Linked DNA regions of Solanum lycopersicum. The main gene of each other region encodes a partner of the protein of the gene in region 7 in a complex. Links are inferred from orthologs where the notes say so. Each region holds a gene or a part of one and is shown on either strand. Other genes may lie near its edges.

Evidence for each region.
Region 1: large ribosomal subunit protein uL4c (region 7) and large ribosomal subunit protein uL10c share a complex: the UniProt entries of both Arabidopsis thaliana proteins name them as parts of the 50S ribosomal subunit. The link is inferred for Solanum lycopersicum from reciprocal best matches to the Arabidopsis thaliana genes RPL4 and EMB3136.
Region 2: large ribosomal subunit protein uL4c (region 7) and large ribosomal subunit protein bL9c share a complex: the UniProt entries of both Arabidopsis thaliana proteins name them as parts of the 50S ribosomal subunit. The link is inferred for Solanum lycopersicum from reciprocal best matches to the Arabidopsis thaliana genes RPL4 and RPL9.
Region 3: large ribosomal subunit protein uL4c (region 7) and large ribosomal subunit protein uL24c share a complex: the UniProt entries of both Arabidopsis thaliana proteins name them as parts of the 50S ribosomal subunit. The link is inferred for Solanum lycopersicum from reciprocal best matches to the Arabidopsis thaliana genes RPL4 and RPL24.
Region 4: large ribosomal subunit protein uL4c (region 7) and large ribosomal subunit protein uL1c share a complex: the UniProt entries of both Arabidopsis thaliana proteins name them as parts of the 50S ribosomal subunit. The link is inferred for Solanum lycopersicum from reciprocal best matches to the Arabidopsis thaliana genes RPL4 and EMB3126.
Region 5: large ribosomal subunit protein uL4c (region 7) and 50S ribosomal protein L27 share a complex: the UniProt entries of both Arabidopsis thaliana proteins name them as parts of the 50S ribosomal subunit. The link is inferred for Solanum lycopersicum from reciprocal best matches to the Arabidopsis thaliana genes RPL4 and RPL27.
Region 6: large ribosomal subunit protein uL4c (region 7) and large ribosomal subunit protein uL5c share a complex: the UniProt entries of both Arabidopsis thaliana proteins name them as parts of the 50S ribosomal subunit. The link is inferred for Solanum lycopersicum from reciprocal best matches to the Arabidopsis thaliana genes RPL4 and AT4G01310.

The regions. Positions count from the first base shown.
Region 1 is NC_090803.1:3,525,857-3,529,339, forward strand, and holds large ribosomal subunit protein uL10c, read left to right. Parts: upstream 1-1,540; 5' UTR 1,541-1,644; coding exon 1,645-2,334; 3' UTR 2,335-2,473; downstream 2,474-3,483. UniProt on the Arabidopsis thaliana protein: This protein binds directly to 23S ribosomal RNA.
Region 2 is NC_090810.1:57,591,071-57,596,199, forward strand, and holds the start of large ribosomal subunit protein bL9c, read right to left. Parts: upstream 3,260-5,129; 5' UTR 3,115-3,259; coding exon 2,977-3,114; intron 2,862-2,976; coding exon 2,734-2,861; intron 1,191-2,733; coding exon 1,145-1,190; intron 1,009-1,144; coding exon 911-1,008; intron 836-910; coding exon 788-835; intron 240-787; coding exon 119-239; 3' UTR 52-118; intron 1-51. UniProt on the Arabidopsis thaliana protein: Binds to the 23S rRNA.
Region 3 is NC_090806.1:68,735,840-68,740,902, reverse strand, and holds large ribosomal subunit protein uL24c, read right to left. Parts: upstream 3,189-5,063; 5' UTR 3,059-3,188; coding exon 2,966-3,058; intron 1,558-2,965; coding exon 1,519-1,557; intron 1,209-1,518; coding exon 978-1,208; intron 795-977; coding exon 588-794; 3' UTR 447-587; downstream 1-446. Other genes in the region: calcium/calmodulin-regulated receptor-like kinase, read right to left, coding at 4,163-4,498, 4,712-4,915. UniProt on the Arabidopsis thaliana protein: One of two assembly initiator proteins, it binds directly to the 5'-end of the 23S rRNA, where it nucleates assembly of the 50S subunit. Required for optimal plastid performance in terms of photosynthesis and growth.
Region 4 is NC_090800.1:78,436,032-78,439,465, reverse strand, and holds the end of large ribosomal subunit protein uL1c, read right to left. Parts: intron 3,197-3,434; coding exon 3,069-3,196; intron 2,184-3,068; coding exon 2,100-2,183; intron 1,836-2,099; coding exon 1,710-1,835; intron 1,505-1,709; coding exon 1,370-1,504; 3' UTR 1,059-1,369; downstream 1-1,058. UniProt on the Arabidopsis thaliana protein: This protein binds directly to 23S ribosomal RNA.
Region 5 is NC_090810.1:58,849,866-58,854,740, forward strand, and holds 50S ribosomal protein L27, read right to left. Parts: upstream 3,350-4,875; 5' UTR 3,303-3,349; intron 2,064-3,302; 5' UTR 2,057-2,063; coding exon 1,790-2,056; intron 1,110-1,789; coding exon 1,008-1,109; intron 937-1,007; coding exon 751-936; 3' UTR 528-750; downstream 1-527.
Region 6 is NC_090808.1:1,642,585-1,646,855, reverse strand, and holds large ribosomal subunit protein uL5c, read right to left. Parts: upstream 2,764-4,271; 5' UTR 2,595-2,763; coding exon 2,343-2,594; intron 1,915-2,342; coding exon 1,369-1,914; 3' UTR 1,169-1,368; downstream 1-1,168. UniProt on the Arabidopsis thaliana protein: Binds 5S rRNA, forms part of the central protuberance of the 50S subunit.
Region 7 is NC_090806.1:67,227,433-67,231,945, reverse strand, and holds large ribosomal subunit protein uL4c, read right to left. Parts: upstream 2,800-4,513; 5' UTR 2,309-2,799; coding exon 1,480-2,308; intron 1,407-1,479; coding exon 1,369-1,406; 3' UTR 1,180-1,368; downstream 1-1,179. UniProt on the Arabidopsis thaliana protein: This protein binds directly and specifically to 23S rRNA. May play a role in plastid transcriptional regulation.

The DNA.
Region 1 (3,483 bases), on a different chromosome or scaffold from region 7:
TTTTATGTAATGATTGATTTGGTGTGGTTACGTATTTGCTTATTATTAATAGTTTTATTTTAATAGTTACTCTACTTTTTTCGTAGTAATTACAATTTTTTTATAGATTTATCATTCCGATTATGAATATGTGATATTATGTAATAACGAAAAACAATATAATCCAGTATTTTTGAAAACGTATTTGGGGCGAGTCTCAGGACGAGTCTCGGGAAGGGGCGTATCAAAAACACTTCGAGGTGTAAATTAAAGACGTAGATCCATTAGGCATAGGCATTAGCCCCAAGCATAAAAAAGTAAATCTTAGACGTAAAAACGTTCGCCCTTAATTATTTTATTTTTTTCTTCAAATCATATTCATGATATTTCTCAAAAAGTAATTATAGATTATTTTTTTTGTTCATTACCGATTATTAATACTTATCTCAAATAAAAATCATAAATCATTGAAAGATTTACTTTTGCTTATTTTATTAATAATTAAACTAAAAATTGAATATACATGTGATTATGCCCCTTAAAACTATGAGACTTACGTCTTGTGTCTCAGGACATACGCCTCACCATATACTATGTAAAAGATTTCACCTCACGCTCTGTCTTTACTATACAGATACAATCTATTCAAATATTATATTTATTAAAATAATATAATATAATATAATTGAAGCAAAGTCTAGGACCTGAGCAGAGAAAATAACAAAAATATCACTTGTGATTTTGATTACATTCAGAAATAATTTTTGAATATTCTTGACTCTTTAAATTTATTTTAAGCCAGCATTTTTAATTGATAAACTTGTAGATACAGATATACATACTTGAAAAAGGATTGACGAGGTGTAGAAGGAATAATATTGAATATGGTGAATTTTAGTAGTAAATAATTTAATTATTATTAATATTTGTATGAGTTATATTTGATAGGAGTATTATTTTATATTTAATATTTGATTTGACGTAAAGAAAATAATCTGTATTACATCAATTTTGAACAAAATTCTTTATTTATATAAGTATCTTTCACAAATATAGTAAAATGATGTTAAAAGAGTTTTGAAGAGCAATAGTGATTTTATTATGCTAATGCATGAATATTTTTTTTTACTAATATCCACATAATTCCATATCTTATATACACCTTAATGCCAAATACATCATATAATATTTGCATTGATTATACTTAATGCGACTCTACTATGAAATTCAAACAAAATTAATAAAATATTTTAATATAGAAGAAAAATTGATATGATTATTATATTATTTTTTTAAAAAAAAATTAATAAAGCATCTGAAAATAATGATAATATATATTTAAAATAACTGATCGAATCATAATTAATATCTTTAAATATAAGATAAAATAATTTTACATTTTATGAAATTATTATCTTTTATATATCATATCAAATCATCTCAAGAATTTTGTTAATAATAATAATAAAAATATATCTAACATAATTTTATAAATTAAAGACGATAAAATATATGTAAATATTACACCTATTTTGCCTTTTTTAACTTCTTTAATGGTTTGTTTGGTATGACATAAATATTTTCAAAAACATAAAGTTTATGAAATACCCCTAAATTCTATCTTAGCACAAAAGATAAGGCAATCCAATTCTCAAGCTATCATCAATGGAGGCTGCTCTCTTCAGCTTACCTTCCTCTTCCTCTCACTCTTACCCATTTTCCGTGAAATCCCACTTCAACAATCCCTTCATAATCCCCCATTCCAGTTCTCACCTCAAACTCAAACCCAGAACTCTAACTATTCGTTCAGCCATTAGCAGAACCAAGAAAGAAGAAACAGTCGAAACAGTGAAGCAACAGCTTGAAGATTGTTATCTCTTAGCTGGAATCAGTTACAAGGGGTTAACAGTTAAGCAATTTCAAGATCTTAGGGCTCAACTCCCAGAAACAACAAAGCTTCTTGTTGCTAAGAACACATTGGTACTTAAAGCAATTGAAGGGACAAAATGGGAAGCATTGAAACCATGTATGAAGGGAATGAATGCTTGGTTATTTGTTCATAGTGAAGAAATCCCAGCTGCTTTGAAACCTTATAGGACTTTTCTAAGGGAGAAGAAATTGGAAGATAATGATTTTACTGGTGGGGTTTTTGAAGGGAAGTTTTATGGGCCTGATGAGTTTAAGGTGCTTGAGAATTTGCCTACAAGAGCTGAGATTTATTCACAGCTTCTTGGGTCTTTGAAAGGACCTGCTTCAGCTGTTGTTGGGACTATTCAAGCTCCAGCAAGGAATTTGGTTATGGTTCTTAAGGCTTATGTAAAGAAATTGGAGGAGGAAGAAGGTGGAAGTCAATAATTTTTGTTGTAATTCTTGGATATGGTAAGCTAATACTATTGTCTATTTGGATCAATATTTGAAATTTTTCTGAGAGATGGAATTTTGTAAATTTTATGTTTTTGGTAGAATGAATTTATCCTTGGCCAATTGTTCTAAATTTGTGTCCTCGTATTTGGCGGATAATTATCTGGATTACTTCATAACTGTTTGAGAGGATTTATGTTATGTGAAATGTACTATTCTGCTCTTTCCATTATCACTGAACCAAGAAAATAGTCTGTATTCCTGCTTCAGCTCACTATATTTGTCAAATATTAAAAGGGCAGCTCGGTGCACTAAGATCTTGCTATTTGCTGAGTTTGGGCTTTGGTAGTAGTCTGGAGGAAGTGTGTAGCTTTATTCTTGCAGTTTCTTGCTATTGTTATATGTTGATCGCACTATATTGTTGACGTTATTGTTTCTTGCATGTATCCTCTGCAGTGCTTTCCTATTACTAGTTCTCATGTTTTCCTTATTGTCGTTTTCCCTTTTTGTTAGTACTTTCATTTACTTCACTTGAACTGAGGGTCTTTTGGAAACAACCTTTGTACCTCCACTAGGTAGAGGTAGGGTTTGCGTACACTCTACCTTCCCCAGACTCCACTTTTTGGGATTTCTCTGGGTGTGTTGTTGTTGTTGGGAAATGCCGGACCACGTTGCATCTATTGTTAGCTACTTTAGTTTGCATTTCTGCAAAAGGTTGTTTCTGTGCTTAAACCATGACCTCTTGGTGAATTGGGCAGCAACTTTTGCGATTGTACCAAACTCTCCTCTTCCTATGTAGTAAAATAGGGTAGAATATATAAAAAGAAAAGAAACAGCAGCATCAATCCTACCTCTTATAGGACGCATCTTCCACTTTGTAAGTGAAAGGGCTGAATACTCTGGCTTTGTCACTCAGTCCTTTATCTCCTCTTTTCCCCTTCCAGCATTCCAAGACTTACTTTAGTTTTGCATGGCTATAATCTGGTGGATGACTTCTCTTTAGAAATAAATTTAGTGCCTTTTGTTTAGGGAAAGGATGGACTAGTTGTTATGGTCGGTGAATAAAATTATTTTAGAACTTTAATGTTGTTTACTGGAATTAGTTAAAGGCCTCTGAAGAGATATTATTAGGAGGACAAGGGA
Region 2 (5,129 bases), on a different chromosome or scaffold from region 7:
GCCATTCACTTTGCTTGAATAATAGTCACTGGAATCAACAAAAGATGGTACCTTGGCCCAGCGAGCCGATACAGCAAAATCCTGACTTGGCATCAACTGCACCAAAAAGCCCCTAATCTCAATTGGCATACACTGTCAACCTTACTCTAGCTGTAACTTCTGGATGCAGCTTCAATTCGGCAACATATTCTCCGGTTTCTCGAATCTCAGGCAGATTGACAATTTTCTTGTCCACGTCCCTACAAGTAGATTGCGTGTGAATATACAATAAAGTAGGAAATCAGTTAGTACATCTGATTTCCTTCAAGACTTTATACGACAATTTTTTCATCCCCACCCACCCCTCACTTTTCTTCCTATTAAAAGTAGATAACAGATTTTCAATCCTTTCTACTCTTTCTTTTTTCGGGGACAGAGGGGTAGTAGAAAGCTACTATGTGATCAAGAAACAGACATCACATTGCTTCAAAAAAACAGTTTTTGCTCTAGCAATAGACGGAAAATGGAATCAGTATACTCCACTGTTCTCGATGACTGATGTTAACGAGTAAGTAACATCGCACAGAAGGAATCACACAAGAAAATAAGCACTGCATGAAAAATATTTGAATTACTTAATAAACCAGATGAATCAGAGAACATCAGTTTTCAAGTTCATGCAAATTCATATTACAGGATCAACCTTATGAAGGACAATATACTTTAACAGTCTTCAATGAACATATAGTAGTAATTAGTTCGCATACTACTATTTACATGCTATGGCAGAAAGATTGGAAAATGGTACCTCTGTATCTGTGCTTTTATAATATCAACGAGATCCTGAGCAGTGACACTGCAAGAGAGATGACGTCAAAAGGTAGATCAAATATTCACCAAGTTGCTCATCACAATTTAGTATTTCACTGACCTTCCAAATATTTGCTTTCCTTTCCCACCCTTACGCTTCACCTTGAAGGCTCCAATAGTTTCAAAAATTCGAGCAAGCTGTTGTGCCTCATCTTTCACCTGAAATCAAAAACGTTTAACTAAAACCACATTCATTATGAAACTCTTTTAGACTTTTAGTGACTTGAAAATAAAAAAAAAATGTATATATTTTTCAACTTTCAATAGATTAGATTAATCAGAATAATCTAATTACCCGTTGTTTTTCAGCCTCAATTTTCTCGTCTTCCATCTTCATTTCCCTGAGTAAAAAGTACATAATGTTATAAAATAAAAATGCATCCATGAAGTTAGTTAATTCTCACTGATGGCGAAGCACGCTAATAGCTATCAAAAATATCAAACCAAAATTGCTTCTAACAACCATCTCTAACGAAGCCTTCACCTATTTGTTTTGTTCTTTAGTATGAAATAGCAAATCCCTTATATATAAGACTTTTACAGGACTATCACACCATTAATGTTAACAGCTGGTTAGGCCTATTGCTCACCCAAAAGCTAAAGACAAAGTCACTAAGTAGTAGGAAATCTAAAGTTTTATATCCAACCATTATCCATCTTATGCATTGTGGGACATTGTATTGAAGACGAATCCGTTATCAATAAATTATATTTGGTTAAAAGAAGCGAATTTACTTAAACCTATAATCATTAATCATACGAAGCACTATTTCAGGGAACAAAAGCCATACAGAGTTTGTGTACTGACCAAGAGTTATAACACCAAAGCCATACAGAGTTTCTGCTCAAGGAGTATCGAAAATGATTATTCTGGTACGACCTTTGCACGAAGATATGTATAATCCATGGGTCCGTCCACTTTTCAGCTAGTTACAATTAGTTTAAAGGATCCCATAGACTAAGTATACCTATTTTATCTCCATTCGACATAGGTCCATTGGTTTAGATAAAAGATAAAACAAAACAAGCAATAGTAATAACATACTTCCACTCATCAACAGCCAAGCAAAGTATTGTGTGTGGCATTTTAAATAGTTGAACCAAAGAATCCTGACATTAATTATGAGGCATGAAAATAAGATAACGAACAGAAGAACCAAAGTCTTGAGTTCAATAATAAGGTTAAGTCGATAATTTAACTAGTCATAATGCAGAAACAGACACTTGAACTCGGCATCAACTAGCAAGAAAACACTCAAACTCGGCATCAACTAGCAAGAAAACACTCCAACTTTGAGTATGCACATCTACACCTCAACTCATCTCCACTGTGTCAGTTGAACACTCCAACTTACAAAATGATCATCTAGGCACCAACCAAATATATTTGCCACATCAACATCAGGTGTCCATGACACACTGTGGATTATGCCGTTAAACTATACAGGGTGATTGGAAATGTGAATATTCAACACTTAAAATCAACTAACAGTCTCCAAAAGGAATACTTAAAAATCCATCCAACACAAGCAGAACCAATTTTAACAAACATTAAGGGGGTGTTTTGTAGCTAGTAAAAAAGCAACTTACTCATATATTAACTTAATGTATAAGTAATACAATGTTTGGCAGTTAGTTAGAGAATAAGTTATTCATGTATAAAATCAACACAAAGTTTAATTTGTAATTCAAAAACCTACCTAACTAATATATAATGTATTATCTTATGCAGGTTACAAGACGAAATAACTGATACCTGCGTAACTCTACCAAGCTACCAAACAACCGCGAACTCCACAAAAGTACAGCTAATGAAAGAAGAACCTAAAAGGCAATGAAATCAAATGGCAAAAATCTAGTTCAAAGTAGAGTTAAACGAGTTACTTGATAAGTGCAGCTGTCACAATTTGAGCTTTGCCCAATGGTAGCAAATAATTCCTAAAGAATCCAGCTTTAACATCCAAAAGGTCTCCCTTTTTACCCAACTGTGAAATATCCTCTTTCAGTATTATCTGTTCCATCAAAACAAAAAATACCCAATTCAGCTATTAACCATAAATGGACAAAAAATGAGATTTTGACAATTATAAATCCAACCCATTATCACATTTTCAAGAATTAGCTCACCTTTCGAACTTTCTTGGCTTTTTTCTGAGCAACAATTGTTAAAATTGAAGTTCTTTCTGAAAATTTCACTGTTTCGGAAAATGGGTTTTTGGTTAAGCTGTAATTTTGGAGACAAGAAGATGAACCCCATGACGCCATAGCTAAGTCTTCCTTCTTCTTTTCTTCACTTTTTGCTCCGTTTTTCTGTATTTTTTACAGTTTATAGCGTTATCTTATCTGTAATGGCGAACTGAAGAAGATAATGGATGTCTTAATGGGCCAACAAAACTTATTGGGACAATTCATGTAAAGCCCATTTCTTAGTCCAATTATAATATTTTAGGCTATTTGGGCGAAGGACAGAAATCACATACTTTTAAGGCAAAATTACCATTTGTTTTTTACAAGTATATAATTACAAAAATTTCTCAAATGATACAATAATATATTATTGTATCATTTGATACATTAATCTGATGTGTGAGATACATTAATCATTAAGTACGATACATTACATTTATACATAATACACTAATCTGATGTACACTTTATACAAGATACATTAATCTGATGCGCGATATACATTAATCTGATGCGTGATATATATTAATTTGATGTGCGAGATACATTAATTTGATGTGCTGATACGTTAATTTGATGTGTGAAAATGAGGGATTTTGGAGATTTGTAAAACTAATAGGGGATAATAATAGTAAGAGAACTTAAAAGTGAGATTTCTATCATTTACCCTTACTGAAATACACGTCTTATATTTTCCTTATTTTCATATATCCCCTTTTATTTCTAAAGACCTCTAAAATCCATTATTTCTTTAATGTATCCGAGCTACATATTAATGTATCCGAGCTAGTATTTAATGTATCCGAGTTACATATTATGTATGCGATTTATTTTATAATGTACCCGATCTAGTTTTTAATGTATCTGAACTACATATTATGCATCCGATTTATGCTATAATGCATCTAAGATACTCTTTAATGTATTCGAGTTACATATAAATGTATCCGATTTGTGTTACTTTTTAAGGGATTAATGAAATTACAAACTAAAGAGGGATGAATTATAATTTCATATTAAAATTATGTGATTTCTAAAATTTATCCAAAAAAAACAGCCCAACATAATACTCCATCCGTCTCAATTCATGTGGTGTTGCTTGACTAAGTAGTGGACATTGGACACGAAGTTTAAAAAATATGAAAATACTTTGTATATCTCAAAACTATCCTTAGAAAGAACACAACTTTGTAGACGTTTTGTCGAATAAGTGGGATCCAGTCATCTACAAAATATTGACAGTGTCATTAACTATTTATCAAATAAAGAAATGTATCGTTCTTTTAGAATTGACTAAAAAAAAGTTTGTCATCTAAATCCGGAGGGAGAGTATTTTACATTCACTTAGCCATATTTTTTTCATCAAAGTCATACTTGTAAAAGCGTACTCTTTCTGTCTCTCATACATTATTGTTTTGTATTTACACATATAAATAAGGGCAACTTTCACATATGGCAAATAAAAAATTCATATTTATATGCTATAACAAATTTTGTATATTTGCTTCCTATAGCAAACATAGAAACTGTATAATTCGCTATACATATACAGTTGAAACAAGTTGTATAAAACGAAGTGTATAAAACAAGAAAGAGAAAGATACTTGGGCAGAGAACTGTATAAAAACGAAGTGTATAAAACGAATTGTATTATTATAAGTGTGTAGAACGATTATATACAATTTGAATTTGTATAAAATGAGAAAGAGAGAAACACAAAAGAGACTTGACAAGAAATATACAATTGAATCGAATTGTATAAAATGAGAAAGAGAGAAATTAGATACAATTTGAAAATTTATAAAACGAGAAAGAGAGAAAGGCAAAAGAAACCGGGCAGGAAAGTATTTTTATTGTATAATTATAAGTGTATAGGAAGAAATGTGTATATACAATTTTCTCACGTTTTATACAAACGGAAACGCAATTTATACATTTCGCTTCTGTTTGTATAAGTGATAAAGGCGAGGGGTGGCGAGCGAGATTTGGGAGAGTAGCGAGCGAGATCTGGAAGAGGGGAGAGAGGGAACAAAACTATATGTATTTATACATTTTTCTCTATTTTATATAATTAGAAACAATTTTTATACACT
Region 3 (5,063 bases), about 1.5 Mb from region 7:
GTTTCGAACAGTAGCTATCTGTTAATAAATGTTACATGGAAATGCCAACTCATTAAGTATGTATATGCATCTGATTTTGATTGAAAGGACCCTTGTCTATTTTTGTGTTCAGAAAACTGAATATAAGTGTAATTGGGGAATATTTCAGTAGGCATTTCATTAATGCTGATTTAGACTGTTCCTGTGGATAGCGACTTTGGCCCCTGTATTATAGATATATTCCAGTTTCAGTAAGTAAAAACGTATAGTTTCGATCCTTCAAGCCATGTTTGCATCTATCTAAGCATGAGATAATCTGTATCATGACATACATACATACATTCTTGAAACAGTTGAAAGAATCATCGATAAATGGACAAGAACTCGAATCATAAAGCACATAAAGATCATTGTATTCGACCCATTAACCATCAAACTCTAGTACGTAATAGTACTGGCAAACAGAATTTTTGAGTAAATGTACTTTAATATAAAATCTTATGTTACTGAGTTAAAAAGGTGAAGGTGACAACAGAATCATAATATATCAATGAGAGAAGATTCAAAATTAGCAAAATCGAACTAGAATTTACAGACCAGTGGATCTCCTAGGAAGCAGCAGCTACTGCTTCTGTTGTTTTCCCCTTCTCTTTGACTGCTTTCTTCCAGTTCTCTGCACTATCGATGATTTCCCCAGTTTTAATGAGGTACCGGACTCTTTTTCCATTGTCTAAAGTTTTGTGACCAACCCGACTGGCTACCTTCTGCTCTTTTGAATAAAGCATCACGTTTGAGCTGTGAATAGGAGCTTCAATCTGAAACAATAACAACAACTACGTCTCAATCCAAACAACTTGGGGAAGTTCAATCTAAAATCTTAACACAAAGTTTTACTTTCTTGTTAGGGCAAAGATGAATTCGATGCTAGCCACGACGAAATGAAATCTCAAGATAACAATTTTTAGGCAAGATAGAGAAGAAAGAAATCGAGATAAAACCTTGACTATCTGGCCTGGTTCCTCCTCACTCCGACTCTTCACATGCTTGGTTTTCAAGTTCACCTCTTTTACTACTATTTTGCTGTTGTGCTTGATGATCTCGGTAATCTCTCCAATTTTACCTTTGTCATGGCCGGAGATTACCTTTACAGTATCACCCAGCCTTACATGCATTTTGTGTAGTACTGGAAGGCTGTTTGGCTTACATTCTTTACGCTCCCATCGCTTAAGCTGCAAAATAGACATAAAAAGAAGCTCTTATTCAATGATAAAGCTAATTCTAATCACAATTCTCATTAACTGTTGTTTCAGCTAAAAGAATATCATACCCATAAAAATTAGTACCAAAGGTTTAGCAATACAAACATTTGGTGGCCATTTTTAAAAGCTGTTGACAAGTTAGTTCGAGCACTTCCTTCATTACATCATAAGTTATAAAAGAAATGCATGACCACATTAACAGCAACCCTATAAAAGTAGTTGCCGGAAATGTCTATCTCGGACAATATACTAAAGGACCAAAATGGATCAAGATACCAACCTTTGCTGTAATCAAACATGGACCTTCTGCTGATTTAACCTGCACGGCATTATATGGAGATTGTCATTAAAGTGGCAAAAGATTATCCAGTTTTACAGTTGACACAATAAAAAGTGACAAACTGCGTAAGGCGTGATATACATCCAAAAAGTGTTAACCGAATAACAAGCAAGTGCATTTTCTGGAGACAGATCTTATTCCATATTTGCTTCCAATAACTTCTGATTATACAGGTAACTATAATATGAGAACGATTTATTATCGAGGAACACAGAGGCATATGTATAATATGGGTTCAGCAGCACCCAGTAGCTTTAACTCAGACCCTATATATGTATTAAAAAATTGATAAATATGTCCAAATATTAAAATTTCGAACCTTAAGTCAAATACAGGGTTCATCCTATGTTAGAACTTGGAAGACATCAATCACAACAGAGGGGGTAAGTTTAAGTTAACCAATTAGCATATTCTTAATATACTTGACTTTTTGAAGAACTTTTGAGGAACTACTGTATCAAATTGTAGATGTCTTTATATATAAAATTATTCTCTTGCAGCTAGAAATACACTGTGTTTGGTATGTAGTTCCAACTTTCCTGTGTTACGAAAATATTTTCTTTAGGAAAACAAGTTCAAGTTCAAAATAAAGAAAATGACTTCCGTAGTGGAAGTAAGAAAAACAAGATGGATAAGTAGCATTTCAAGTTATCATCACCCAATCCCTCCAACTCCCACTTCTTGACCATATCACGTCCGTCCATCCCCGAATCCCCACTCCCCATCCCATCTCGCCTCCATAGTATTTTGTTGGATATATAACATATAAATGCTCTTGGAATAATATTATCTAGCTTAGTTACCATATAAACACTAGAAAATTAGTAAGTTCCACATTTGTTTTCTAGGTAAACATTTTCCTTCGTACCAAACACGCAGTCAAAACTTATAATAGCGAAAAAACATATGATATGAGAAAGGACTCAGGTAGCAATGGTGACCAAGCAGAGAAAAAGTTCACAATATATTGTAATCAAATAATATAAAATTAATTTATAATCAATAGTACAATGGAAATGGATACCTTTGTTCCTATGATCCCTAATACATAGAAATCAAATTATTCAAACAAAGACCTTTCACAAAGACAATTGAAATTGAGATAAACAGATAGGATATAGCCTAGTGGTCAATGCAGTGGTGAACAACTACGATTTATTGGTTCAAATCACAATACACTAGTTTATTTCTTCGCATTTATGTAAGACTGGATGGAGAAAGTTACTTGCAACACAATTCAATTCTGGCTAGAGGTAGCAGGTATTCTACGTAATTAGTCGAGTTGTGAGCAAGCTGGACCGAATGATACAGTTGTAGAAACAAAACAATTAACATTTGAGATAGTTCAGTTTGAAAACCAGATAGTTGAAGTTATGAGAAAGCATACCAGAGGAAGGGAGAGAGGAGGAGAGAAGCGTTGGCCGAAGAAGGAGGTGGAGGAGATGGAGAGACCAGTAAAGGAGCTCTGCAGAGCCGCCATTGTTCAAAACCTTCTGCAAAATCCTTTTGTTGAAGGAAGAAACAACACTGAGCTGAGTATTTGGATAGGATAATAAAAACCAGAACCTTCGTCTTCTTCTCTCTCTATCCCTGGACACCCGATCCAACTTAATTGGACCTTCAACGGGTCGAGTACGGCCCAATTATAAAGTCCCTTTTCAGCTATTTCGGGATTGTGGATTAATTACGAAAATCTCACCTTTTAGTTTAATTATTATCATTATCCCTTATAAGTTTTACAAATTTCTAAAATTTCACAATTTTCATGCATCACATCAATTTCTATCGCGAATCATATTATTGTATCCCGCGCATCAGATTAGTGTATCATGTATAAAAATGTATCTCGCACATTAGATTAATGTATCTCGAGCATCATATAGTGTATCATGTATAAAATGTACCTCGCGCACCAGATTAGTATATCTCGCGCATCAGATTAGTGTATCATGTACCTCGCGCATCAGATTAGTGTATCATGTATAAAATGTACCTCGCGCATCAGATTAGTGTATCATATATAAAATGTACCTCACGCATCAGATTAGTGTATCTCATACATTAAATTATTGCATCTCGCGCATTAGATTAATGTATCAACGCTTGTATTATTGTATCCGTTTTGAAGATTTTTTGTAATTATAAATTTGTAAAGTATCAATTTGCCCTAATTTAAGAAGGGAAAAATGATCAAGTTTTAATGTTTTATAGGTTGACAAAACATATAAAAGACGAATTGAACAAATAAATATATTGAAAAAAAGTATCGGGGGATTAAAAAATAAAAAAAGCTTGGTTCTTTTTTAATAAAATTAGATTGAATAGGATACTAATGTAGAAGAAGTGGAAAAGCCTGATCTGGGATTTTCCCCGTTTTCTACCATTCATTAACCTTCCACGCAAATTTACAAAAACTTAGAACAAAATTGGGAACAAAGGCTATCATACACTCAGACTATAACATACCCCTAAGTATCCCAAACGAACTCACCAAGACAAAAGTGTGTTTTTGTAAATAAGAAACCTAACAACCTGACCAATTTTACAAGATGAAACAAAAAAATAAACAAATGGAAGAACTGAGTTAAACTTCATACGAGTCAGCTGTGCTATCTATAGATTCAACACGTCGATGTCCAGAGATTGGATTCCGATGATCTACTTGTTCAACATTGATGGTAATCTCCTCTGCTGTTGCAGATAAAGATCGCTTCTGGCGTTTTCTTTCGTGTCTAGACTTGAGTATCCTTGACAGAACCTGCACAGTGTCCCTCATGGAAGGCCGTTTCTTGGCAGCACGATTCACACATTTGTATGCAAGTGCTGCTACATCATTAAGTTCTTGCAGATCATACTTCCCATCAAGACGGGAATCTGCGATTTCCTCCCATCCGCCTTTTCCATCTGTAGTCATGGCTGCCTACAATCATCAATCCTATGGAGCTTAGTTTCTATATGACTGAATAGGCTTCAGAAACATATGCACAATAAAAGAGGTTGTAGGGGAAGAGGGGGGGGGGGGGGGGGGGGGAGTGGAGGGGTTCTGAAAGTTACTCGAGATCAGTGCTCTCTACATGTGCCACAAAAAAAAGAAGTTTCACATCACATAATGAGAAAGAGAGAGAGATCTTACTAGTTCAATATACTCGATAAGCCCCTGAAGAGGATTTTTACCAGCAATAAGTTCGAATAGTAAAACCCCAAAGCTGTAAACATCACTTTTCTTAGTGAAGGACCTAGTTGATATATATTCAGGATCAAGATATCCGAATGTTCCACGGATGTTGGATGCATGTTTACTGACCATTTCTTCCCTTGACAGCCCGAAATCAGCAACCTGTGTATTAAACCCAAGATTGCAGTTATGCTTAATACCATTAGCTCAAAATGGTGTCGACATTTTCATTATGATAAACTCAGAATGGTCAAAATCTTCAGTGTGACCGCCTCAAAATGTGCCATTTCATTATTATCAACCAAAGAAA
Region 4 (3,434 bases), on a different chromosome or scaffold from region 7:
TTTATATTTAGGGACAAAGACCCTAGATTGGCGTCTTGTTAAATTATTTCCCTTTTTAACAATTATGGAAAAGCTACCACATTCTCAATAATACTTCATAATTGCATTATGCAAACACATGAATATAATTACAAATTGTCCAGTCATTTTCTTTATAAAATATTCCCCAAAATCATAGTGTTTTGCCTTCAAATTCTTTTGATAAAGATAATTTAATCACAATTGCATCAGATTATTTTCTATTTTCTATTTTCTTCATTAAAAGTTGGAAAAGGAAAGAGAATGATAGGCCTCCAATTACAAACTGGAAGGGAGAGACCTCACCAACTGTGTGGCTCTAAATTGGGTTGATTATGTGATTGGGATTTATTGTCTCATATGGACCAAAAAATAGTCTTTGACTTTTTCTCACGAATTGATGATCTTTAATTTTTATCCTTAAATTAGTAATCTTTTAACTTTTTGTACATGTCTATGGATCAGAGTGTCTTTAGTTATGACCTAATCTTAGAGATTTTTGTTGTTTTATTTGACATAAGTTGTATGTTATCATTCGTAAGGCGTAAGTTTAGAGAACATTTTGTCTTGTAGAAATAAGTTAAGTCTGTTGAGGCATGATTTTGTGGGTTTTAAGACTGAACACATTTCTCGATAAACATAAGTTCCATAGAAACTAAGTTATGTCTTATAAGTCATAACTCATGAGTTATGCCAGAACTAAGTTTATGTTTTATAATAAGGCATTATGAATTGAACTTTTATGCTTCGTTCTTTAGGAATAAGAGACATAAATTGTTTAGATTAGATACGAAAAAATAAAATTGTCTTGTGGTTTTTTATTTTATTTATTTATTTTCGATGTTAAGAGTATTTTCAGACGACTTTTTTGTTATCGCAAGTGATGAAGGACAAAAATTATCCTAAAAAATTAACTACCACCCCATGGGTACATGCGTATGACCCTTTTCCACAGTGGTAAAGTAAAGAAAAATACTAAAAACTGATAGGTTTATTCAGCTCAATCAGTTGTTGGCAGAATCTCAAGAGATGAACACAAATTAGAGAATCTTGCAGCATATAAAACTTCTGAAAATTGAATTAGCTCCCCTTTTAGCAAATCGAAGCATAATGTACATTAGCACCTAGTAAGAATTAAACTGAACATAAACATTGACAATATCAAACAAAATTATTCTCTTAGCAACTGTGCCTATGAATGCTTCCACACTGATATTGACAATATGAAGTTTGGATCTCCTTTCAAACTCCACCTACTTTGTATCCTAACTCTCATAAAATGGAAGCTCTGATAAGGCGCCGAAGAAACTTAGGTAGATGATAGAAGATACAATATACATGTCTCGCTCAATTAAGCATTCGGAAGCTTGTACTCCAGCATCTCCCTTACGTTTAACCGAATGGATGGCCCCATCGACGAGCATACATGTGCACTCTTCCAATAAACTCCTTTAGCACCTGATGGTTTGTTTGCTTCCACCGATTTCTGTTCATTCAAAGAAATGCAGTTGAATTAATTTACAATGGCTTCTACCAGCCTCTCTACCTCCATGAGGTAGTTGTAAGGTCTGTATACATTCTACCCTCCCCAGACCCCACTTTTTAGAATTTTACTCGGTATGTTGTTGTTGGTATATTCAAACTATTCTGGAACAAAAGTATAAGAAATAGGAGCTAACGATAAAACTTACCACTGCTGCAATGAAGTTTATGATAAGATCTTCTTCCGAGAAATTTGCTTTTCCAAATGGCAAGTGAACAATTCCAGTTTTATCTGCTCGGTATTCTACTTTACCCTTTTTGAATTCTTCGATAGCCTGGAGGAAGTACAACAAGTTTACATACTTGAAAACATTTTCAAGGAGCAAGAAAATAGTCCATTAAGTGAATCATCACTGCCTACTCATTAACTACATTGTTTCACATTTTGTTAACTCTGAATAACTTCCAAGCTAGGATATATATGGTGTGGCTTCCCATTTAATATAAAGATCTAGGGATTCCACCATTGCACATAGAACATAAGAAAGAGAGTATTTTGATTCAACTTTTTCACAAGAAGAAAATATTTGACACGTTACCTGAGGTATATTTGTAGTGACAGTACCAGCTTTTGGGTTTGGCATGAGTCCTCTAGGACCAAGGACCCTACCTAAGCTAGCAACCTGCCGCAAATAGTAGAGAATGTATCAATATGAATTCACAAAAAAATTACGTAAAATGAGCCACAGATACTTGTTCAGGTGTTAATAAAACTAATTTCTAGACAAGTCACTTAAAAAGGTTCAATTTTTTGAATCAGCTGTCAGTGAGCATTAAAATGGTAAGACGGGGAGAGGAGCCTCTGCGATTAATCACTCAGCTTAAGTTAGGCTTAATATTGCCATCAGTCCTGCAGCATTAGATTTATGATAAAGTAAGATGGACCATAATTCACAAATATACAATGCAGAAGCTGTTCCAAGATATGGCACATGAAGAATGTAAAACTCATGCACAATGTTACAACAGAATTTTATGATTTAACTTTTTCAGAAAGAAGGCTTGCTAGAAAATATGCAGATGCTGACTAGCCAGATTTTGAGGTCAAGGAATTTTAAGAGCACCAACCTAGCAAAATATATGAACAAATGAACATGGAATGACAGAGAAAGACTCCGAAGGGAATGATAGAATTTAACAAAATATGTTTTATTCAACCAAATCATTATTTTAGTTGTGAAGTATTTTCAGAAGAAAAGATACAACAGCTAGAGCTTTTCACCAGGTCAAGTGAGTTGGTTCAGAACAAGCTACGCATTGTTAAGTTATATATCCAGGTTGACAAGGCCCAAACGCATGCACAAAAACTTTGGGAGCGAGATATGCTGAATTATTTGAGACAGACAGTCGCTCTTTGCCTTGTGCAAACTTCAATATGAGATTCTTAAAACCAAGAGACAGAAGTTCATAGGCTGGTTGTCGAAGACAGTATAAAAAATGAAAAAGGAGATCAAATTGAACATCAAAGGCAAGTCAGACATTTTTAATAGCAAAGACTGTAGAAACACCTTAGGCATCATATCTGGTGTTGCAATCAATTTGTCAAACTCCATAAATCCTCCCTTTATCTGTTCTATCAAATCCTCCCCACCCACTATATCAGCTCCTGCATTTTTCGCTTCATCGAACTTTTCACCTGTAGAATTTTAGCTGCAACACAATTAGCGTGCCGAAATAGTGATTACAGTTCCAAAGAAAAATTTCAAGACCAAAACATTCAAAACTGCAATTGTGACCACATCCCAAATATAAAAAAGATCCTAGCATATTGCATTCAATCTAGGGTTACAAAAACTAGACTAACAATCACACTAAAAAGGAAGATTCATATGTCTGATCTTTTTTTTTAAGAAAAAAAAAACAATTCTGAAAGT
Region 5 (4,875 bases), on a different chromosome or scaffold from region 7:
TGACGAAATAAGTTATGTCGTATGGCTGATGGAATAACTTTTTTTCAAATTAACTTATTTTTAATAAGATAACCACTAAAAGGGATGAAATATTTTATTTTAAAATTAATTATAATTACACTTAATTGTTTTCACAGTCACTATTTTTATACGAGAGATGAGATAAACAAATTTATCCTATTGGATTAATTTTCTATGGTATATATAATAAGATAACTTATCATATGACCACAGATTATTCCAAATTTAATATTCCTTCTAATATCAAATGAACCCTTTTATGTACTACTCATTATTCTTTTAAATATACTCTCATCCTCCTAATTTATATGAAACGGTTGTTAAACAGTTTAAATTTGATCATAAATTTGCTGATAAAATCTTCAAATTTCCTTAAAATTAGAAGATTTCTCTTACTACTAGCTTCTGCGGCGGAATAACGTGGAAGGTCTCTGAAATTGGATTATTTTAGTTGTGATTTTACCAACTGAACACTTAAACCGAATGAAAACTCAAAACTCTTTTGGTTGTGCTATTGTGCAAAGCTGCATCTTCTGAATCATACATTTCATTCTGTACTCATACAAACTGTGACAAAGACTCATGCTTTCAGTAACACAATTTACAAACAAAAAAAGACAACAATGGCAGAAACACAGTTTAGAAAATGTGCCTGCAAATGTGTTCCCAAGTAGCTACTAGCAATAACCAAAACGACAACAGAATGTTTGAAAAATCGAAAGACCATTATCAGCAAGTGGTGATGGGATTATCTTCAGAGGATTCAGCAGCAGAAGCAACTATCAACTGAGGCTCAGGGATGACACCTTCTCTTCGTGCCTTTCTACGTTCACGTTGTAATCTGAAGGACTCTCTCTTTCGGTTTCTATAGCTGTTGGGGTTTTCAGGTTGCACCTCGCGTGGATAAACACTTATCTGCACAGTCAGTATACGTTAATAACACTCGTGTACCACATATCTACAAGCAGTAAGCTAAAGAACTCAACCTTTTTCCTGTCAGGTCCAAACTTTTCAAATTTGACTAGTCCATCAATCAAAGAAAATATTGTGTGATCTTTGCCAAGTCCAACATTCTTTCCTGGGTGGAACTGGAAATATCACCACGAGAACGATTAGGGAACAGAATATATGGCAATGCTAAACGGAGAATGCAACTTTTGAACTACTCTTAGAGCAAACAAACAGACGATAACAGGATCATATCAGAGCCGAAAAAAAGTAAAACTAATACCAACCTCTGGCATAAACCCTTTTACTATCTAACTGATAGAAGACGACATCTACTCATAGCATCATACTGTCAGAAACTGACACTTTCGGCAAAGAAAAAAAACTCAAGTCGGATTATAACAAATGTGCATTTCTTAAAGAGAACTTCCAACTATGTCTTCACGACACGAGCTCAAAACCTTAAACCTTATAGCAATCTGTTACTTCAAATGACAAGATATGTATCCCTCTAGTACCTTGTTTTGTACTCAATCTAACGCCCTCTAGACAATCCACATATTTCTAACAAATAATATACAAACCAAACGAAGAAAGCCAGACGAATGGAGCAGAGTTATTGACAAGATGCCAGGACCTAGTATGTTTGTGAGGTATTGAGCAAAAAAACTGGAATTACACTCTACTTGGGTGGGTTCATCCGAATTCATTTCAAGCACTATTAATTAATCAAAAGAACTATCAGAACTTCCACAGCAAATACGAGTTTTAGGCAAAAATAAAAAAGAGAGAGGAGATCCAGAAGAAGTAAAATTGAAACCTTTGTACCGCGCTGGCGAACGATTATAGAACCGGGCTTGGCGACTTGGTCACCATAAATCTTGACACCAAGCCTCTGTCCAGGAGAATCTCGACCATTCTTAGTGCTACCAGCTCCTTTCTTGTGTGCAGACTCAATTGTCAATGGAGATTTCAACGGGAAGGAAACGGAGAACTTAGGGGCAATGGGAAGAGAAACCCCAAGGAGAGAATTGGAAGATAAGGAGAGTCCTTTGAATGAGGAAACAAGACTCAAACTCACTGCCATTTATACGCTGCAAAGAAAACAAAGAAATTCAGTAGCCTCTCGTGGTACTTACTATCAGAGATGAGAGGCCTAAAGGAAAGGAAGTGATATTTAACAATGGGAAAAATATGAGCATAGAACTACTAAGAGGACAAAACTATTACCATAACAACTACCAAGGATCTTAATCGCCAATCTAAAATTTCCCCGGATCATCGCGAACACAAATTGGAGAAATATATTTTTGATAGTAAGTCTACAGAAGGTTTGACTCTGACTTTAACACTGCTCGGTATGACTAAAACAGTAGAAGAGTGATAAAAATGGTCCTAAACATATTTCCTAAGAAAAAAAGTTTTCCATCAAAAGGGGGAAATAACTACTCTCACTTATGAGATAAGTCATTTCCTTTTACTACGATTTCAGCTCTTTCTCCTTATCGCTCGCTCCAACCACTGTTTAGATAATATTGTCATTTCTTAATACTCAGCTTTATCAAAATATAAAACCAATTTGCTGAGCTTATTATCAATCTTCAAAAAAAATACAAAACACACACTCCTAACAATAGAAGTACCTTAAGTCCTCATTACAACTATCTTTACTCCATTATATATCTCTTGCATTTCAATACACATTACTTCCACTCATTGTTTTTCTTTTCAAAATTACACCAAACATCAACCCCCCTCCACCACAAACGCATTTCGCAAACTCTACACCACAAAATATTCCGCAAATAAGTCCTTACGCAAGCAATTGGTCATAAAAGAACCATATTTAATCATAAAGGACAAGTCTTTAAACCACAAAACAAAGAGGAATCAAAGGAAACCAGTATCAACAACAAAATAAACACTAGTATGTTCATCAAGATTGCAGTCCACCTAAAATATTAGTAGCGGTCAATAAAGTAGATTGATAACCATAACGTCTCAAGTTCAAATCCTAGTGAAGCATAAATACTAACCCCCTCCATTTCAATTTCCAATAGCAACTCTTCAATTCTAACTTTTCACATTAAACAACATTTTGATACATTCGACATAACATTAGTTTTACTTCAACCCCACTTGATTAAAAAAAAATCTTTACTTTCTTATATTATTTGCCAAAGTCGAACCACACAAACAAATTGAAATGGAGAGAATAGTAAACCAAGATTTGCGAGTCAGCTAAAATTAAATACATTTTCGAACACCCAATTAAACATAGTACAAGAAAAAAACATTGAATTTACAGAAGAGGGGAAAAGAGATGAACTCACCGAGGGGATTATGGAGCCACAATGGCAAAATCTTCGAGATAAAAAGATAAGAGAAATGTCAGCCATCCTTTTTATAATATACTTGACCCGTTTTGAATTGGGCTTTTTTTAGCTTGTTTTCGGGTTAAGTTTAATGGTTTCGTTTATCGAACATAAGTTATGGACATAAATTAATTTTGCTTATAAATATTGAAGTTGTAAATATTTTTATCGAACTTGTAAAGGGGAATAATATGATTTTAATTAGTAAAATAAAATGTTTTTTCAGATATCTTTTCTTCGAAACTAAAATCCAAGTGATTGTTTTTATATTTTTGAAAACGTTTTTTAATCTCAAATTGATATTCTGCGAAAAGTATTTTCAAAAAATGAAATCATATTTAAAAATTTTTAATTTAATTTTTATCGAGAAAATTTCATACTCCTACTTACGGGCATATATAATATGATTTTTCGATAAAAAGTATAAGAATAATTTTTTTTTGCATACCTCCATACAAGTACGGTTAAGAATGTCAAAATGAGCCTAAATATATATAACTCGTCTAACTCATTTAAAATTTTATAGGCGGGAGCTCTAGATATTTTGAATTGGATCAATCTCAACTTATTTACGTTTTAGCCCATTTTAAAATAATTTTTAATTGTGTCCAATGTAATCTCTAATTTCAACATGTTTTAAGAGTATTTTTTGTATTGGTGTAATTTATGTTCTCATATTGAATGCATAAATTAGAATCTATTTTATATTTTTTATGATTTATATATCAATTTTATAACTGTTTTTATTGAATTAAAATTCAAATAATAGTTATTAAAGGAAAATAACAATATGTTTAAATTATTGAGATTAAACATGTCAAATCGCACAGGTCATGATCCAATCCAATGTTTATCCTATTTGAGCCTAACATAATTTGAAGAGGTTATGATTCGACTTAAATTTTATTTGAACTCATTTTAATATTTTAAATTTTAATTCAACCCGATTATTTAACACGCCGACCTACAATAATGCCACATTATTCTTGAAAATTGCTCATATTATGCTTCTTGAACTAGTTAGTGGAATTGATTGCTCGAGTCAAAAGTTGTGTTGGTAAATTAAAGGATTTAAAAGAAGAATATTTAAAGTAAAATAGATTGTTTAATTTATTTACTTTTATAGGACAAGAACAAGTGGAGAATATAAATGCCATGAACCTAATTCTTTCAAAGAATAAATATATTTATTGGTTAAAAAATAATATTAGGTGAACATTTTAAATATATCTAAATTTCAATATATAAAATTAATACAATAAAATAATTAAATCCAACATCATGCTATATAATCTATATGTGCAAATACATCAATGGTTTTAACATGTAATAGTAAAATACCGATAAAGATTGTGATGGAAAATTAAAATAATTCAGAATTTCACCATTTTTAGTTAGAGATTGCAAATACAATCCTTTGTGAATGATTATTTTAATTACAAATATTGACTTTCAAAAATGATTTATACAATATACGAAATTGAATTTTAATCAGACTCAATACAAATATGCATAAAATACTAATTAAATT
Region 6 (4,271 bases), on a different chromosome or scaffold from region 7:
AATTAAACCCCTTGCTCTTTCACTATTCAGAAGGTTCATCATGGTTAGACATATTATAAGTGATGATATTAAAATGGAAAGGAAACAACAATGAAGGCATCAGAATAGAAGGATATTCATCTCAGCTTCATGGCTTGTTAGCATAAATTCAAATGGAGAAATTTTAAATGCTAAACTTCTAAAGATAAATGAAGAATAGTAAAAGACAGCTACGCAAAATTAACCAGAATTAGTTAGATAATATATTTTAACATGTAACAATTCTCTAAGGATATTTTACCAGACACATTATACACTCAAAAAATGAGCACCACCATTAAATTCTTCATCGATCTAAAGGATATAACACATCCTCGATTTCATCAACTTTCTGTAGTCTAACTCGTCAAGAACAAGGTTTTTATTGACCCAAACCAACACAAGTACCCTATGAAAGTAGGTTCTTTTACTTTAATTTCTCCCAGAATCTTCTGGCTGTGTTCACAATAACATAAGTGGCAGGAATGATTTCAATTTGATAGAAATAACAACAGCTTCCCTTTTGAGTTTCTTTTTTCCTTTTTTAAGGGGCGGCAAACAACCAAAGAATAGGCTTAGATATCTATCTTGGAGTACCAGTATGGAGATCTAGCAAAATCAGAATGCAGCATTACAAGAACAGGTTAAAACCAAATCAAATGACATAGAACCTGAAACCACTAAAAAGCACATTCATACACACTTTGAAAGAAAAAACTCTGTACAATTTGAGCAGAATAAAATGAAGCCAAGGGAATAAAGATTCAGCAACATGGTATATACTATAAATAACTGTGACTTTCTAATATGCGAATATAAATAAACCTTAGAGGAAGAAAGGAGAAAGGTGGGGGATCAGGGAGTAGAAATAAGTATGGGACTCCACAGCCTCACACACATCAAGTGTTAAGCATTAGGACAAATTTAGAAAACGTAAATAAGATATCGCCCGCAAATACTCCTTATCACATACGATAAAAGATAAAAGCAGAGATGTTAACTCACCTAAATGTGAATATGGTGGAGCTAACAAGAGAAACTCTTTGCCTGAAATCAAAGTAAATGGCAGACGAGAAAAGGGAGCGGGTAGGAAATATTTAATAACATACAAATTACAGTAATCAAGATTCATGAATAGTAAAAACTTAACTAGAGATAAAAACAATTCTTATTTTTTTTTTTTTAGAGGAAGAAAACGTAAATAACATATATTCGAGACATCACCAGCCAGATGGTAAAAGTGCAATTACAGATTTTTCTATTCAAATTGTACGCCAAAAACAACTGATAAACCACAAAACAGTTAAAAAACAACAAATCAACTCATTATCCCTGGAGATTGGATCCACCTCATCTCCTAGACCTTTGCTTCGCCTTCGAGTCAAAATGGTGAGCTCTAAGCTTTTTCTTTTTCGTAAAAGTTGTCTGTCCACCAGAACCTTCTCTAAATGGCATACCCATGAGAGCCAACAATCTGTGTGCCTCTTTATCTGTCTCAGCTGTTGTTGTTATGCAAACATCCATCCCTCTTGGCTTACCAAGAGCATCATAACTTAACTCTGGGAAGACACTCTGTTCACGAAAGCCAATGCTATAATTTCCATGACCATCAAAGCTATTGGGGTTTACGCCTTGAAAGTCCCTCGTTCGAGGAAGCCCCAAATTAATTAACCGGTCAAGGAACGAATACATTACATTCCCTCGAAGTGTAACAGCAATTCCAAGCGGTTGACCTTCTCTAATTTTGAAAGTAGCAATAGCATTCTTAGCCCTAGTCTTCACAGGCCTTTGCCCTGTAATTAAGGCCAAATCATTCATTGCTGCATCCAAACCCTTGGAATTTTGTGCAGCATCTCCTATACCACAATTTACCACAATCTTTTCGACCTTCGGAACCTAAAACACGGTTTTTCCACATTCCGTATCAAATCAAATTAAAACTAAAAAATAATAATAGAGTTTGAAGCAATAGGTCAATGCAACTAATATTCACTGTGATTTCTCACTCCTCAAATGATAATAGTGTCAAACAAACTAATTTCTCAGCATTTCAACTCTAAAATTCAACATTTAATCAAACAAACAAGAAACAGTTCAAATTTGTAGATATAAGTTGTAAAATTTGAAGCTAAAGAAGTACATATGCTTTGAAATTGAAATTAACTTGAAAAGTATAATTGAAAATTGAATTTGTGTTTGAACCTGCACTAAGCTTTTTTAAAAACTGAAAAATTTGTTCAATTCCCCCATTTTCCCTTTCCCAAGCCCTAATTTTTATCTGTTCTGGAAAAAAAATGCAATGGACAAACGACTCCTAAGTTTACCTGAAGAATATTGGTGTAACTGAATTCTTCCTTCAACAACGGCACAATCTTTTCGAGGTAATTTGTTTTCAGACGATTAACTTTTTCAGCTTCACTTTTATCCACTAGTACTGTTGCTGAAGCTTTCACCGTCAATTTATTGGACGACCGGACCTTGGTATTTCCGACCGGCAATCGAACGGAGTACGCCGGAAACTCAGCATTGTAGAAAGAGGAGGCCGTGGAGTGTAGAAGAAGAGGAGAAGCCGCCATTTTCTCTGAGCTTTTTCTCTCTGTGTGTGAAAAATAAAAGGGTAATTGGATAAGATGTTCTTTGTGGATATAACAGAGTTCTCTCTACTAAATTTTAATTTGTGAATGTTTAAGTAAAAAAAATTCGGATCCATTTCGCCATAGATTTTTCAAGTAAAATTTTTTACGTGAACATCAAAATAATGATGTAATATTCAGTAAATAAGAAAATGACGATATGATTATTGATAAAAGTGACGAACAATATGTTTCGTCTACTTCATAATGTATGCAATGATGCTTGTTGCACTATCTCTGAATTACCATATTGCTTCAGTGACATGGACACTAATTGTTACGATAGTGAATCTTTTTATTCTATTTTGTTATGCAATACAAACTTATAGTTAGTTTTGATAACTTTTAAAACTTATTAGTATACATTTCTTAAAAAAAGTGAAATATGTTTCCAAAAATTAAGCCAAACATATGATGAAATTTATGGTTAAATGTTAGCTTAAGTTTTGGGCTAAAAATTATTGAATGAAGATCGTATCAAATCAGGAAAATTGTATATAATAGCAAACTGTTAATTTAAATTAAATGTTATAAATATACTTTGATTTAATTGTACCCTATAGCAAACTATTGCTATTTCCGCCACTCTCCCTGGTGGAATCTCGCTCGCCACTCTCGTTTTGTGACAGTCTCACTCACCTCTCTCGTTTTTTATACAAACACAATTGTATAAAATGTGTTTGCGTTTGTATAAAGTGAGAGAAAATTGTATAGATACATATAGTTTTGTTCACCTATCTCAAATCTCACTCACCACTCTCCCGAATCTCCCTCGCCTCTCTCGCTTATTCAAACAGAAACGAAATGTATAAATTGCATTTCTGTTTGTATAAAGCGAGAGAAAATTGTATATACACATGTAAATACATATATCTTCGTCCTATACACTTGTAATTATACAAAACAAATATTCTCCTGCTCAGTTTTCTTTTGTCTTTCTCTTTTTCTCGTTTTATACATACACAAATGGCAGATTATACAATTTATCTTTTGTATACAACTGCTTTCTTTTGTATATGTATAGTGAATTATACAACTGCTTTCTTTGTATATGTATATAGGGAATTATGCATATTTATATTTGTCACCGAGCGCAAGTATACAAACTTTGCTATATCATACAAATATAAATTTTGTATTTGTTATATATGAAATTTACTATATCAAATTTTATTGGCCCAACAAAAATTTTTACCAAGAAAATATTGGGGTCTATTAGACTGGAATGAGGTAGGCCCAAGTCTAAATTGGTTTGTGGGCTGGATAATTTTTTGAAAATTTAACGTCGTAGTGGCCCATTTCATTAAATAAACCTAATCTTTATTATTTAGCCAGTTTCTTCACTGGCATGTCTTTGTTTACATTTATAGCCTAATTTCGCTCATTTCTTCTATACTTGTATTTACTTAGATTATTTGAACTTCGTTTATAATTTATTTATTTTGGATGAGTTTACCTTGAATAAAGGTGAAAATAAAAGAATTTCACATCGAATGGGATTGGAACCTCAAAAGTTGTGGTAGAGTAGAAAGTACGAATATATTTTTATCAGAAATTTTAAATTCAGAGTTATAGAATATAATTTCTTTTGATATATAAAAAGTGTTTTACATTATCTGA
Region 7 (4,513 bases):
AAGAAGGTTAATATTTGTACCTGGATTAGTCCATAATAATATTCTTTCTTCCCGAAGGGTATCTTCTGATAATAATTTCCATGTGGCTTGCCAAAATTTTCTGGCAGTGACATCATTGCAAATAACCCATCCTTTGAAGTCGAGTTAGCTCAATACAAGCACCCTTGCTCTTCTTAAACCTACTGACAAGTGGATCACTAAGGATGCTACACTAAGGATGTCAAAGCTAGACATGCTTGCTGCTAGAATCCTGAAGTTTGCTATTGTATTTTTCATAGCATTTACCAAGCTTGACAAAAAGTGATGCCATTTGTATGAAGACTAAATAGTAAATGATGGTATATAGCCAATTGGAAGCAGTCTCTGAATAATATAATAACAATTTTTAAACTACACCAAAGATCATGTATGGAAAAATTAAGACAACTAAGTTTCAGCGTCACGTGTTAAATATTTGACTAGTAAATGAGTTCAATGCCATTATACAAACCATTGACTTCTTTTCTCCAGACATCAGTGTAGCATAGCCCTCCACAATGTAAATTTTTCATTTTTCTTGTTCTTCTTTTGCTTTTTAAACAGCCTGGCTTTGAAATATGTAAAATTGATCAATGAGATAGTTTGTGCAATCCATTGATTCATTCTCAAACCTTCTATTTTGAGGCTAAAAGCAGAGTAGCAATTAGCGCTTAAACTCAAAAGTTCTAGTAAAAGCCTAGAGATACTCATATACTCTCCATCACATATTTTGATAGTACAAATGTCCAAGTTATCTGCCTCCATAGATAGTCTACTAGATATGGTCTGTTTCAAGGTTAATAATGCTTAGCATCCCATATGCCCCCAATGACTCAAAACAAAGTAAAGAGCATTTTTTCCTGCCAATTACTTTGTGTTTGTATTAAAGAAAAAGGTGATGAAGCTTTTTCCACCCAAATAAAGGTTTCCTTTTCTTAACTTTGCTTAATTGCTTCAAGCCTAAGACTCAAACACAAAGCTTTCCTAATCATTTTACTTTGCTGAATCTCGCCTGGCTGACAACTTGTAACCCATAAATCTTATATAAAGCTTCATCTACTAAGCAATTAATGTAGTTTTGCCAGAACACAAGACTTAATTAGTAAAGTAACTAATCACTCTTATCATAAAAATCAAGAACTCAAAGTGGTAATGAGAGCGGAACGAAAATCAAGAGTAAACTATTCCAACGAAGGTAATGGACAAATGCAGTCAGTGACATGAAATCAACCAAAATCACCTAGTTTTATCATACAATAAAATACAATTCAAAGTGAAATATACTAAGCTCCCTGTAAGGTAAAGCCTCCTCTAAAATGGAACAGACCCTTTTCGCCCCATGTTCATATATTACTCAGAACTTTCAGCACTCTCCTCCACCTCGCCACCTGAATGCAGCAAATTAACGAGTTAGCTAAAATTGAAAGGAAACTTCATACCCAAAATGAAGCAAAAACTAACCATCTTCTTCTTCCTCGTCCACCACCTCCCAGTCATCATCATCATCATCATCATTTCCGTATCGTTCATTCAAGAACTCCACAGCTGATTTAGTGAAAACCAGCTTCTCAGAATCCAATATGTCGAAAAGATTCAAAGTTCTGGGTGTCAACATCTTCAATGTGCTAATGTTTCTGCTGGAGAGAATCACATTGTCTGAAACTTCCGTCATCAAAAACAAAGATTTCTCTTTTGGGTCCAATCCCCATCTTCTCATCAAATCAATGAACTCCTTAGTCTTCGGTTTCTCAAACTTATCATCAAACTCTTCCACAACAATGGCATTCTGTGTAGCACTCGAAAGCGCAGTAGAAATCGCGAGTCTCTTTTCCTTTTTGTTAATCTTAACTGACCAATCCTTAGGTTTCGGCCCAAACACAACCCCACCACCTGGTCGTAAAGGAGTTCGGTTCGACCCACGTCGAGCTCGACCCGTTTTCTTTTGTGGGTATGGTTTGATACCACCACCCCGTACTTGGGCTCGGGTAAGGGTGGAAGCAGTACCGCGACGTTGGTTGCGCAGGTCAGTGGTAAGCCCACGATGAACGACGGCGCGTGCGGTATCAAGAGGGGCGGATTTTAAGTTGAGAGTGGTGGAGCCCACTTCGGTACCATCAAAGGACAGAATTGGAATAGTGGCGGCGGCGGCCTCTGAACGGATGGAGAATTGTTGTTGTTTGGGTTTGAAAATGAGTTGTTTCTGCTGCTGCTGCTTTGAGGAGTGAAGGGTGTTGGAGTTAGAGAAGAAAATGGTGGAAGAAAAGAAAGATAAAGAAGAAGAAGTAGCCATTTTTGCAGTGAAGGAGCAAACTGCAAGCCTATGGATTGGGTTATCCACAAATGAGGAAGAAGGATATCAAAATGTATTCATATTCTTTGTTCAAATAAATTTAGTGAAAATGGAAAAGTCATATATACCCTCAAAGTATTTGAAATTGAGCACATATTTGATAAATTTAGGGACATATTTGCGGAAACATGCGCTCCCTGCGGGTAATAACAAGAGAGTGAATCCTCCAAACTCAAAGAGTGATTGAGTCCGTCTCAAGCGAGTGAGTGAAAGGCGTGGCAAGAGAGCGAGTTCGACTTGCGAACGATCAGCAAGTGAAGGACCGATCCTTTTGCGCCAATGAACTCTTCAACTTTACGACGTAACAGACTCTCTAGCTTTACGAGATAGTGATAAGGTCTACAAATATTCTATTCTTTCTATGCTTATCGTTGTCAGAGTATATTTGATAATTTTTTCACTTATGAATCAACAAATGAGGTTAATCAAATGTTTCATTTAGACTAATAACACATTCAAAATGATAAGGTCATATATAAGCCAAACTATTGACGAAGAGTTGAAGGGCATGTCTATTTAATTTACAATACTTTAAGAACATAATTAAATCTTCTTTTGTGTAGGAAAAAAAATAAATTTTTTAGAGCGTAAGCGACAAATAAAATTTTTATGAAATGTGCTCTTTATTTTTATTAATTTTGATATAATATAAAAGTTATACAATTTTCTTGATCAAGTCTTTTGTTAGTTGGGGCTACACCATCATAAGCCCAAAACCTTCATTTTCTTTTATTTTGAGGCGCTATTGATGCAGCCTGCTACATATTGCCTTCCCTTTCCAATTTTTCCATGATACGCTAAGCCCAACTCGTATGTTGAATTCGGTTAAGAAAACAAACCTTGAATCTAATCTAACTGTAACATCGTAGCTAGCTCAAGAGGAAATAATTGTTCAAGATTATTTATGCTTATCAATCAATTTAAGACTCAACGCTCCTTTGCACGTTCATGGTCAGATATCATGAATGTAAGCAATATAAAATGGAGACCTAATATTAAATGATAATGAAGTGAGATGGACGTAACTTCAATACCATATTAGATTTAACTCAATTCAAAAGATAAATCGAGGAGATATGATTGTTCAAGAGTATATAAAGAAATCAATTTCTCCTCGTTCCACTTATGTTGAAACTTAACAAACTCAATTAAATTTTGAACTAATAATTTCAAATGTACCATAAAAATAGGTTCTGCAGCTTACATCCTAAAATTAGGTAAGCTATGCTTATTCCACATTGAATTAAAAGCAACAGAAAGTTCATAGGTCTTTAGTAAAAAGAATTTATACTAATATGGGATTTACAATTGCCATGAAAAACGTCTTAATCAATACTCCTATCTCAATGACTATCTATAAGTACTCCTTCATCCTTAATTAGAGATTTCAGATTTGAATCTTTCAAAGTACAAAGTCACCTTTACGAGGAAACAATGAATCCCTCAGTACTAATGTGAATCCAGATTAGTTGAGCTCCAATATGAATATCAGACATCAGGCGCATAAAGCATAGATTCACAAGATTCTTCCCAAGAAAACTCCCTACATGCACCAACAAAGTTAGTGAAATCTTCAACTCCATTTTGATCATAGTAACAATCCTTGAACCAAATATTCATATCATCATCATCACTAGGAGTTGAAGAATCCATGTCTGAATCAATCCAACAATATTCAAGTTCACCAAGATCATCACAAGACAAATTAGTTGAATTCTCTACTTTCATTTGCTCAAACAAAATTGAATCATTTGTATTAACACTAGGAACAATATTCTCTACTTCTAATGACTCAATCACACTTCTTAATAACTCTTCATCACTTGCCTCAAATTCTGGTTCTTCAAGAAATGACATGAAAACATCGTTCTCAATATTGCTAAGTGCAAGATTTTCATTATTACAATATGTGGCCATTGACATGTTGAATATGAGATAAAAGAGAAGTTGAAAAATTGAAAGATTTTTTTGGAGAAGATTAGCTTTAATTGATAAAAAAAAAAAATTAGAGGAAAAAAAGAAAGCAAGTGACAATGTATTCTCTCAAGAAAAAATGGCCTATAAATAGGCATATCAAAGTAGACAACTTGATCCTACCACATGGGGTGCATATGATAACCATAAAATTAGCTCATTAAAATATAA